2 linked regions of the Schizosaccharomyces pombe genome follow. The protein of the gene in region 1 purifies or fractionates together with the protein of each later gene. This does not show direct contact. Each region holds a gene or a part of one and is shown on either strand. Other genes may lie near its edges.

Region 1 (6,729 bases):
AAAATTTGTGTCAAATTTAAGCTTATGCCAAACTAACAAAGGATTAATAACATAATTGCGGATATTTGCAAATAATATATTTTGTGTGTTTTATTTCTGTCTTTGATTAGCGCAATCACACAAAAATATTTAATTTAATCATTTGAAGCTGATAATATGGAAAAATCTGGTGGAATACGTGAAGAGAGTTCTGAAAAAACTTTTTCGGACTTTAATTTAGATCCTAGATTGCAAAGAGCCATTCATAAATGTGAATTTGAAAAACCTACTTCAGTCCAAAGCGAAACAATCCCTTTAGCATTAGAAGGAAAAGACTTGGTAGCTCAAGCAAGAACTGGTTCTGGTAAGACGGCTGCTTATTTGATTCCCATTTTGGAATTACTGTTGAAGCAAAAACAAATCGATGAAAATCAACGTGGAATTTTTGCTTTGCTTTTAGTTCCTACAAGAGAATTGGCTCAACAAGTATACAATGTATTGGAAAAACTTACTGCTTTTTGCAGCAAGCATATTAGATTTATCAATGTTGCGACGAATAGCTCTGATACCGTACAACGTCCTCTTCTTCTCGATCTTCCTGATATTGTAATTGCAACACCTAGTCGTTGTGTTGTTCATGTCGCATCTGGTGTACTTCCATTGGATAAGTTAAAATTCCTTGTAATCGATGAAGCCGATTTAATGCTCTCTTTTGGATATAACGAAGACATGAAAACCCTTAGTAGGTCCCTTCCCCGTGGTACTCAATCCTTCTTAATGTCTGCCACACTTTCCAAGAACATTGCATCCTTACAAAAGTTAGTTTGTCGGAATCCGTTTATCTTAGCAGTAAAGGATAAAGAAGCAAGTGGAAAGTTAACTCAGTACGTTGTTAAATGCTCTGAGCAAGACAAGTTTTTGCTAGCGTACATCCTTCTCAAACTCAGATTAATTAAAGGAAAAATCTTGATTTTTGTGAACGAAATAAACCGATGCTACCGACTAAAACTTTTTTTGGAGCAGTTTGGTCTGAAGAGCTTAGTGCTCAACTCTGAGCTTCCTGTAAACTCCCGTTTACACATCTTAGAACAATATAATAAAGGCTTGTATCAAATCATTATTGCTACTGATGAAAGTGGAATGATGGGTGAAATAGAAGAATTGGAAAATAATGTTGATTTTGTCGAAGAAGAAGTAATTTCTACTGATCAGCCAACTTTAGATAAAATGAAGGATCAGGAGAATGCAGATGTCAATGATGAATCCATTTTAGCTGCTGCAAAGGACAAATCCAAGAAAAAGAAAAGAGTTAAACAAGATAAGGAGTATGGTGTTGCTCGTGGTCTTGATTTTGAAAATGTGGCTTGTGTTCTAAATTTTGATATGCCTAGTAACACAAAATCTTATATCCATCGAATCGGCAGAACAGCAAGAGCTGGAAAACCTGGAACCGCTATGTCTTTTGTAGTGCCCAAATCAGAGGTTGGCAAACATAAGCCTACGAGTCTGGAATCCTGTAAAAAAGATGAGTCCGTTTTACGTCGCTTAGAAAAAAAGCAAATTAGCCTACAACCTTACTCATTTGATAAGAATCAAATTGATGCTTTCCGCTATCGTATGGAAGATGCTCTTCGTGCTGTTACTACCGTTGCTGTTTCAGCCGCAAGAGCTGCTGAATTGAAACAGGAATTACTTATTTCAGAGAAGTTGAAATCTTACTTTGCTGAAAATCCAGATGAGTTACTATCATTAACTCACGATACTGTTTCCAGTGTTCGCCTTGGTCACACCCAGAGACATCTCCGTCATGTTCCTGAATATTTATTACCAAAAGGAATGCAAGCCGTTAACAAGGACATTGGCTTTGTACCATTTAAAAAGAACAATAGGCGAAAGGTATTTAAATCTAGAAAGAATCCTAAGCATCGGCACGACCCTTTACGCTCTATGAAGCGTAAATCTTAAAGTTTTTACGGTAAGATGTGGTTATCAAATGATTATGAAATGTGCATTCTGTTCTTTCTTTTGGGAAATTATAATAAAATATTGGTCTGTTAAATTTTTAGTTTAGGAATTATGGGTTATACAATTAAAGGGTTTATAAAATTGCGGTGTTTAAGTGGTAGAGCTTCAATAAAATTTCTCACTGTTTCACCTTTCTGTAATTTTACCGACTGAACCTGCTTTTGAATTGACTTAACTTGCAAGAATAATCAAAATTAGTAAGTTCTGTTTAATATTAATTTTTCCTGCCTAGATTTTGTAGAGTTTATAGTATTCGTATGTACGTTCTCATTAGGCTTATTTTTAAATAAATATTTGTTAATGTATAAGAAATTTACAATTTTTTTTCATATTCTGTCAATACTTGAGATAACAGAATTAATTTACCGTTTTTAAAAATTCTCTTATCCTCCCATTTGAACAACGCAATTTTCCATATTGAGCTGGACTTGTTGACATCGACAAAAGAGACTTCATTTTATATGGATTCTCTGTCGGAAAGTTCTACTTCTTCATATCACGGAAAAAGACCGCGGTCCTTGAGCGAGGAATCGCAAAGCTCTTCCAACATGGATGATATTTCACAAAAATCAATATCTTTGGGTGATGCTTCAGAAATATCAAAGAACCTTCCTTCTATTGCAGAACAAAAGCAGTTAATAGGCGAGTTGGTAAACAATCAACCCGAACTTGAGTTGGGACAGGTTGACAATTACATTCTTTCGTATAGTTGGTATGAACGACTCTGCTCGTATTTGGCAGAGGATGGTCCCTTTCCTGGACCGGTAGATCAAGAAGATATTGCTGATTTAGAAACTGGAACGTTGAAGCCGGATTTGCAAGAAGAGATTGATTTTACCATCATTTCTCGAGATGTATGGGATTTATTGGTTCGCTGGTATGGACTAAAAGGACCCGAATTTCCAAGGGAAACTGTAAACCTGGGCTCAGAGTCGCATCCTCATTTGGTAGTTGAAGTTTACCCACCAATCTTTTCATTAACACTGTTGAGCACCAATGCTGTGGACGCGAATGAGTCTCATAAGCCTAAAAAAATATCTCTTTCCTCAAAAAGTACTTTAGAGGATCTATTGGAAGGGGTTAAATATACCCTTTCTCTCCCCAGTGATCAGTTTAGGTTATGGAGAGTTGACACGGATCAGCCTTTGCATAGAACTATCGATCCCTCATCTTTTATAAAAATCAATTCGAAAGAAATTATCGATTTTTTAGAAAAATCCAAGACTTTGGTAGAACTGGGAATGGACAGTAGCTGTTCATTAGTGGCTGAATGCATGATAAATGAAACATGGCCAGTAGACCGTGCGCTTCGCCTACAATTCTTAATTCAGCAGAGAAATAATCAATCATCTAATGAAGAACAAAAACAAGAAAAAAGGGTTCCAGGAACCTGTGGTCTTAGCAACCTTGGAAATACTTGTTATATGAATTCCGCACTCCAATGTTTAACCCACACTCGTGAACTGCGTGACTTTTTTACATCAGATGAGTGGAAAAATCAAGTAAATGAGTCAAATCCCCTTGGTATGGGTGGCCAAGTTGCCAGTATATTTGCATCTCTTATAAAATCTTTATATTCTCCAGAACATTCCTCTTTCGCTCCAAGGCAATTTAAAGCAACTATTGGTAAATTCAATCATTCTTTTTTGGGATATGGCCAACAGGATTCTCAAGAGTTTTTAGCTTTTCTTCTAGATGGACTACATGAAGATTTGAACAGAATCTATCAAAAGCCGTATACCTCTAAACCCGACTTGTATGAAGTGGACGAAGAGAAAATAAAAAATACTGCTGAGGAGTGCTGGAGATTACATAAACTAAGGAATGACTCTCTTATTGTAGATTTATTTCAAGGCATGTATCGTAGTACCCTTGTGTGCCCTGTTTGTAACACCGTCTCGATTACCTTTGATCCTTTCATGGATCTTACCCTTCCATTACCTGTCAAGCAAGTATGGTCGCATACTGTTACCTTTATTCCAGCTGATACAAATCTTACTCCATTAGCTATTGAGGTAGTACTCGAGAGTAAGGCGGCGACGATTGAAGACCTTGTCAAATATGTCGCAGAAAAATCTGGATGTAGCGATTACAGGAAAATATTGGTTACTGAAACTTATAAGGGAAGGTTCTATAGGTTCCTTACACAACTTTCCAAATCTTTGTTAATGGAGATTTCTGAGGAAGATGAAATTTATCTTTATGAGTTAGAGAGACCGTACGAAGATGGATCTGATGACATTTTGGTTCCTGTCTATCATATATCTGATGATTCTACAAATTCGGCAAACTCCTATATGAGTTCACGCGATTTTGGTCACCCATTTGTCCTGCAATTGTCAGACAATGAAGTTACTGATGCTTCCTTTATAAGTGAAAAGCTCAAACTTAAATATCAGCAATTTACAACTTTAAAAAACTTAAAAAATATTGACTCGTTGGAGTCTTTGGAACTTGGCCACGAAGATGAACAAGTGCAAAAAGGTCCGTTGGATGTTGATATGGATCATAGTCAGACACCATTGTTTGAAATGAGAGTTTTCCATGATCGGTTTGAAAAAATCCCTACCGGTTGGAACATGAGTGTTTCTAACTTGCCTTTGTTAACCGAACGGGATAAAAAGGATTTAGAATCGACGGTCGATCCTTTAGATGCTCATTCAATTGAGGAAGAAGATGACAGTGAGTTCAAAGACGTTGCACCCGGTTCATATCCTGAGCCTTCGAAGAGTAACGAAAACACCAAGTTGACCGCAAAGGAAAATGATCGTTTGCTTATTCAGGGTGACTTGCTGGTGTGTGAGTGGCCTGAAAAATCCTATCAATTTGTATTTAGTGTGGCACCTTCTTCTCCTCAAATGGGACGTTCATTGTGGCTAGAATCAAAAACAATATTGTCGGACAAAAAGGATGATTCTGAAGATTCTCGTACCATTACTTTGAATGATTGTTTAGATGAGTTCGAAAAAACGGAGCAACTGGGTGAAGAAGATCCTTGGTACTGTCCTACATGCAAAGAATTTCGACAGGCTAGTAAACAAATGGAAATTTGGAGATGCCCCGAAATTTTGATTTTCCATTTGAAGAGATTTAGCAGTGAAAGAAGGTTTAGGGATAAAATTGACGACTTAGTTGAATTCCCTATTGACAATTTAGATATGTCTATGCGGACGGGTAGCTATAAATTGTCCGAAAAAGAAAATCCTAAATTAATTTATGAGCTTTATGCTGTCGATAATCACTATGGCGGTCTTGGAGGCGGTCATTACACAGCATTTGCTAAAAATCCCGACAATGGACAATTTTATTGTTTTGATGATTCACGGGTCACTCCTGTATGTCCTGAAGAAACTGTCACCTCAGCTGCATATCTGTTGTTTTATCGCCGAAAAACAAGCTAAAATGAAATTTTCAATACTAGTACTTACTGCATCAATCTTTGATATGCTAATTAAAAAACGGTTCTTGTCAATGTGACTAAAAACTTGCAGTTTGTGGTTAGGCACAATTTATTGTCGTTTATCTAAATAAAAATTCCATTATGTTCTAATACCTTTGAGCCGAACTTATTACTTATTTTACGCTAAGGATTTTTTGTATCATTAAGTAGACAACAGTTCCTTTATAATTCGACAAAGTATCGGTATTACATTTCTCTCAGCTACTAAAAAGAATTTTTGTGCTGACAATTGTTTCAAACTACTTAAAGCATTTTTTAAAGCGCCTGCGTGTTGGAGATTATTTAAGATCTATGTTTTAATGAGGATTAGTCTTCGATTTTTTTGTTCAAAAATTCAGCTATTTTTGGTCTTTAATAAGTGCTTTAGATTTCAAATTACTTTTATTGGAGTATTTCAGTTTACTCTTGGGAAACCAGTTTGTTTGTATTTGCCTGCTTTGAAATTTCACTCTCTTAGCTAATAGATTTTTTGATCAAATGCTTTAGATTGAATGTTAATTAACGAAGTAAAATTTAGAAAAATGAGCTCAGATTATGCAGATTCCACAATTAGCTGCTCATATATATTAATTCGAGTACAATCAATACTTTATTCAAATGCTATCAAGAAGTATGAAGTTATAAGTAGAATATCAAAAAATAACCAAAAATTGTATTTAGATAGTTTTCCACTTGTGTATCAATCAGTATCATAACGATTCTGCTTATTCACATTACCCTTAGTTACCACCATCCTTTGATATATAAGCAAAAGTCACTATATGTTAGTTAAAAAAGTTTCTCTATTTTTACTAAAGTTAAAATAATATTTATTTGAAAATCCAAAGAAATTATACAGAATGGGATTCGATTTTGGGAAAATGAAAGAGACTTTTCAGGTCGGCATCATAGGATTTGGCGATATGGGTCGCTTGTATGCAGAGTACATCAGTAAGGCAGGATGGAGGTAAGTAAATAATTTTTGTTCTACAATCTACAATTAGCTCTCCTTTTCAAAGTGCCTTTAGGGACTTTTTCTATTAGCACCTTCTAACATCATAAATAGAGTAAATGTTTGTGATCGACCGGAAAATTACGAATCAATACAAGCGACTTATGGAAATGGGGGATATACCGTTTTAAAGGATGGATTTCAAGTTTCACGAACGAGTGACTACATTCTGTACAGTGTTGAAGCTGAACATATTGATAAAGTTGTTGCTCTATATGGGCCTGCAACTAAAGTTGGAGCGATTGTCGGAGGTCAAACATCATGTAAGGCTCCA
Region 2 (5,870 bases), on another chromosome or scaffold:
GTTTTTCAGAGTTGTGCTTTAAGGACCAGTAATAATCCATATTAAATGACACGAGCCGAAGCATGGTAATGTTAAAAAGAACATACCAGCGCTCAAGAATCCCAGTATATTGATCCTGTAAAAAGATTAACATCTGATGGCTAAAGATAGCGTACCAAAAACCCTAGGCCTGGATGAAGGCTAGAAAATTTGCAATAGGCAAAATATTCTTTAAAAAACACCACTGATATATCTAATGTCCATGTCAAGAGTGGATTAAAAATACTGTTCTTTAGAGACTTAGAAATGAGATAATTGATCAATGCAATTGTTAAAACATATATAACGCCAGTCCCGTAGACAAGTAATGCAAACAGCAGGGAGAAGCAAAGTCGATAGTTGTTTTTTATAGCGAGTTCATCATTAGTATTTTTTGTGAAGACAAGCTTAACGAGTCTCCAGAGAAAATTATAGACAATAATTACAAGTAGTAAGATTGGCATATTTTCACGAAACGCGGAATACTGAAAATCAGCGGAATCGACTTTTTGTCCAAACAACCACCCAGGCTTTAAATATTTTTCAATGTTTTTGTAATTGGGATGTTTTGCTGACGCCTAGTTAGTTGCTTACTTTATTTCAAATTGATAAATAGAAAAGGCTGATTAAAGCTTTTGACACTTACGAGAACTAACATAATGAATTTTAAAACAAGCAATTGTTAGAATCGATAGAATGACAGAAAAGTAAAAAATAAATTCTATGGAACCAAAAGCGCTCTTTTCCGGAACTGCGCTTCGAACGGTCAAACGTGAAGATGAAGATGGATGACTTGAACCAGAAGTCGAACTTAACCGTGAACTTTTAGAATTGGGTCTTTCAGTATCTTTGGTCGAAGTCTCAAGAACATCAAATCGAAATAAACGTAACATCCTAGAAGTCTCCTACCAACAGCAAAGAAGATGGTCGGTTCTCAAAATATCATAGAGTAAACAAACCTAGTGGTGTTCACTAGCAAAATGCAAGACACTGCGTAATTTACACTTTGTGTCAGCTTCATAGTCCGTAAATAATTTTAAGAGTAAGGTAGAGAGAGTATGATGAAATCAATTATATTTTTAAAAATAATAAATTCAGTTTGTATTGTTTATTGGAATGAATAAAATAGTCAGCACTATACAAAACGCGCTATTAAAATAGAAATATTAATTAAGCATCTTTAAAGACTAAATTTTGATTTTGGTAAATTAGCAACTTATATATTGAAAAATGTTTTACATTCGTTTGCAATAATTCTGTATAGCCCATTTAGATCTCTAAAATCGTTAATTTTTATAATTAATTAATTAATTTATTTTTTTTTGGATATGATTTGCTCAATGATTGCTAAATTATCACATCTAGTCTAAAAATTCAAAAGATAATTTCAAGTTAACAAGCTCATATAATAATTAAATGTTCTATTAGAACGTCGTATATATTGACCAAAGTATTACAAAAATAAATAAAAATAATATATACTATAGAAATTAAAATAAACAATGACTATATCTTGCAATTTATATGCTCCTAAACCCAATTTGATCGCTCTCCTAGTTCATTTGGAAGAATTGGAAGAAGATGATTTTGCTGGTCGAATTTTAAATTGAGGGGGCTTAAATTCTACAACATTGCCATTGATTACTTGACCATAGCCTTTTTTAAAAGTTTCCCCTTTCTTAGCTAAAATGTCTTCAATCGTCACCCGTTCTTCAGAGAATATTTTTAAATGATCAGCCATCAAGTGCCGATTTTTGCACTTAGGACATTGAACTAAAACGGTCCCATTATGGTAGGCCTGCTTGGAGAAATTGTGATTTGACCTAGTGTTACATCTTTCATTTGGTTAGTATCCTTCAATGAAATTATAAATACTTACACGGTACAAGTAAAAGAAACATTATAAGTCGGTTTAGGTTGTAATTGATCAGCATCTGATTTTACAGAGGGAACACCACTTGCAAGATCTTTAGCATCGCTTTGAGTGAAGCGTTTGCATTGCCAATTAGAAATGTTTCTCACATTCGGGGAACAGAAAAGTAAACTTGAAACCTTTACCTTGTTTGAAAAATTTTTTAACTGCAAATTTCGTAAACAGAATTTTTGAGTATACCGTGCAAAGCTCCACATTATGTTTGAAAAATTTTTGTGTTCGGAGAATGTTGTTCGTAGTTAGTACCTTCTACCACCTTTTGTACCATTACTTCCGTCTGTGCTGGCGTTTCTTTATGCAAACTCATATGCCCATATATTTAGCTTTTTTGTTGAAACTTAACTTTAAATTCCATTATTAATGCAGCGGTCAGCGAAGTTAAAAATTCGAGCGCCACGAAAAGTAAGTGTACCTGATGCATGCTGTCCTTATTATTTTCCTCACATACTGACATTTAGTTTTCTGCTAACCAAGTAGACTTTGCTACACATTGGGAAGTCTTGCAGCGAGCTATTGGGGATATATTTCAGAAAAGCACATCTCAATTATCGTTTGAAGAGTTGTATAGAAATGCATATATACTTGTTCTACATAAGTATGGAGAAAAGCTTTATAATCATGTACAGGATGTTATTAGATCGAGGCTTAAAGAAGAAACTGTTCCAGCTATTTACAAAAACTATGACGCTTCCTTATTAGGGAATGCTCTATTGGATATTAGAAAAAATGATTCCTATTCTACTTCATGGTCGAGATCATTGGAAGCGGCTCATAGATTTTTATCGTCTTTAGTTAATTCCTGGAAGGATCACATTGTTTCAATGCAAATGATATCTAGTGTATTAAAATATTTGGACAAGGTTTATTCAAAATCTGCAGACAAAGTTCCTGTTAATGAAAACGGAATATATATCTTTCGTGAAGTTGTTTTGTTAAATAGTTTTGAAATTGGAGAGAAATGTGTCGAAACTATTCTAATTCTGGTTTATCTTGAACGTAAAGGGAATACAATAAATCGACCCTTAATAAATGACTGCTTAGATATGCTAAACTCTTTGCCTTCAGAAAACAAAAAGGAAACTCTTTATGATGTTTTATTTGCTCCAAAGTTTTTATCTTACACAAGAAATTTCTATGAAATAGAATCATCAACAGTCATCGGCGTATTTGGAGTTGTGGAGTATCTGAAAAAAGCAGAGAAAAGATTTGAGGAAGAAAAGGAGAGGTCCAAGAATTACCTGTTCACAAAAATAGCTAGCCCCCTTCTATCCGTTGTTGAAGATGAGCTTTTGAGTAAACATTTGGACGATTTGCTTGAAAATCAATCAACTGGCTTTTTCTCGATGATCGACTCTTCAAACTTCGAGGGTCTTCAATTGGTTTACGAAAGCTTTTCTAGAGTGGAACTTGGCGTGAAGTCTTTAAAAAAATACTTGGCGAAATATGTAGCGCATCATGGAAAATTAATCAATGAAACTACTAGCCAAGCGCTTGAAGGAAAGATGGCTGTTGGTCGTCTATCATCTAATGCTACAATGGCAACATTATGGGTTCAAAAAGTTTTGGCCTTATGGGATAGACTAAATACAATTATAAGTACTACTATGGATGCTGATCGGTCTATCTTGAACTCTTTATCAGATGCTTTTGTTACGTTCGTAGACGGATATACCCGAGCCCCCGAGTACATTTCACTATTCATTGATGACAATCTGAAAAAAGATGCTAGAAAAGCAATAGAAGGCTCTATTGAAGCAACACTTCAAAATTCTGTTACGTTATTTCGGTTTATTTCAGAAAAAGATGTTTTTGAAAAATATTACAAAACACACCTTGCAAAAAGGTATGCTTTAATTGTTTTTACTGTCTTTAACACTTTTAGGTTGTTGAATAATCGATCAATATCTTCCGATGCAGAGCTCGGAATGATCAGTAGGCTGAAACAAGAAGCTGGTAATGTTTTTACTCAAAAGCTCGAAGGAATGTTTAATGGTAAGTATTCAGACTTTAGCAAGTTTTTTTGCGTTCCCTTATTAATGCTTAGATATGAATCTTTCACAAGAATTGTTACAGGAGTACAAACATAATTCTGCGTTACAGTCGGCCAAGGTTAGTGGAAATTTTTATTGATAATCCTTTATACTAACAGTTAGCCTGCTTTGGACTTAAACGTTTCAATTTTGGCTTCTACATTTTGGCCCATCGATTTATCGCCTCACAAAATTAAATGTAACTTTCCGAAAGTTCTCCTGGCTCAGATAGATCAATTTACGGATTTTTATTTATCGAAACATACGGGGAGAAAATTATTGTGGTATCCTTCTATGGTATAGTAAACTTTTATTTGCTTGTTGCGTCACACTAACAATCCTATTTAGGGAAGTGCTGATGTCCGTGTTAATTTCAAAGACAGAAAATATGACTTGAATGTATCGACTATTGCATCTGTTATTCTATTGCTTTTCCAAGACCTAAAAGAAAATCAGTGTTTAATTTTTGAGGAGATTTTGGAAAAAACCAATATAGAAGTTGGGGATTTGAAGCGCAATCTTCAGTCCCTTGCTTGTGCAAAATACAAGATTTTGCTAAAGGATCCAAAAGGAAGGGAGGTGAATGCAGGTGACAAGTTTTATTTCAATGAGAACTTTGTTTCAAATCTCGCCCGGATTAAAATATCGACAGTTGCTCAGACTCGTGTTGAGGATGATAGTGAGAGAAAACGTACATTAGAGAAGGTAGACGAGTCAAGGAAGCATCAAGCAGATGCCTGTATTGTTAGAGTGATGAAGTATGTCTTTTTCCTTTTTTTTTTTTTTCAAACATTTTTACTAACAGTAAATTAAGGGATCGCAAAGTGTGCGAACACAATCAGCTGATGGCAGAGGTTACAAGACAGTTAAACCCTCGTTTCCACCCTAGTCCGATGATGATTAAGCGACGAATTGAAGCTTTAATAGAGCGGGAGTACCTACAAAGACAAGCCGATAATGGTCGCATTTATGAATATTTAGCATAGCAGCCTTAACTGTTACACGAAATGCAATATTCGTATACGAGAAATCATGTTTAAATGGAAAGATACCAATTTGTTCAAGATGATATCTAGCAAAAGCTTTGTGATTATAATGACACTCATGAATTTTACACCAACTTCCTTTTTATTTTTGAAAAAAAGAAAATTTTAAGTAATGCTATAAGAAGGTTTGAAAACAGGTAGATTATATTCCAAATCAATCAAAATTTGATACATTAATTCTGCGAGCAGATAGTAGAGTAATGAGTTTAAATTACATTGTTCCATATACATTGTACAAAAAGACCAAAACAGAAAAACCCTCAGTTTAAAATAGATTAAGGTATTTGATCAACGATAGATGGGAAGTGTTAACCTAAAAAATTATTATGGGAGGAAGCGAATTCGCCGTAAATACACTATCCTACACAGTATGCTTTTGATGATGACTCTACTAATAACATCGAAAATACCAGAGCAAGTAAAGCTCCTTATAATCTTTAAGGTGTTAATCAAATAATAAAGCTATGTATTTGATTTAGTATTGAAACACCTGGTTGTTTACATTAAGAATATTCTTCTTTCCTAACGGACTACGCTATCCTCTTTAGCAATCTCGGAAGAACCCCTAAAAATATCTACCGTTCAATGCTATTCTGTATATTCTCCGCTTAATTCTATTTGTTTAGGAAATTGTATAAATAACCTCAAATATCTTAACGAACCCCACTTGTTCGCCAATTTCATTTAATTGGTTCCGCGTACCACACTTCCTTTTAACCACCAAACACTTTTAAGTATCCGCAAGGTTGCCAAAGGTTGATTACAATCTCTTACTTTAAGCTAAGATACAAAGCTCTTTTTGATATCCTACTCGTCTTGCAGAGAACCTACATATTCTCTTTT

Evidence for each region. The genes of interacting proteins can lie anywhere in the genome.
Region 2: the proteins of ubp12 (region 1) and cul3 purify together in Schizosaccharomyces pombe (affinity purification with western blotting, with the first as the bait; one study listed by BioGRID). This does not show direct contact.

What each region holds. Positions count from the first base shown.
Region 1 is NC_003421.2:2,328,144-2,334,872, reverse strand, and holds ubp12 (CSN-associated deubiquitinating enzyme Ubp12), read left to right. Parts: upstream 1-2,401; 5' UTR 2,402-2,465; coding exon 2,466-5,405; 3' UTR 5,406-6,004; downstream 6,005-6,729. Other genes in the region: ATP-dependent RNA helicase Dbp9, read left to right, coding at 157-1,944; NADP-dependent prephenate dehydrogenase Tyr1, read left to right, coding at 6,325-6,410, 6,510-6,729.
Region 2 is NC_003424.3:485,057-490,926, reverse strand, and holds cul3 (cullin 3), read left to right. Parts: upstream 1-2,212; 5' UTR 2,213-2,311; coding exon 2,312-2,353; intron 2,354-2,409; coding exon 2,410-3,794; intron 3,795-3,833; coding exon 3,834-3,943; exon of another isoform or gene 3,944-3,995; coding exon 3,996-4,060; exon of another isoform or gene 4,061-4,104; coding exon 4,105-4,278; exon of another isoform or gene 4,279-4,329; coding exon 4,330-4,739; exon of another isoform or gene 4,740-4,795; coding exon 4,796-4,967; 3' UTR 4,968-5,204; downstream 5,205-5,870. Other genes in the region: gup1 (MBOAT family O-acyltransferase), read right to left, coding at 1-115, 156-589, 665-911; TIM23 translocase complex subunit Tim15, read right to left, coding at 1,577-1,853, 1,898-2,148. UniProt on the Schizosaccharomyces pombe protein: Probable core component of multiple cullin-RING-based BC3B (BTB-CUL3-BTB) E3 ubiquitin-protein ligase complexes which mediate the ubiquitination and subsequent proteasomal degradation of target proteins.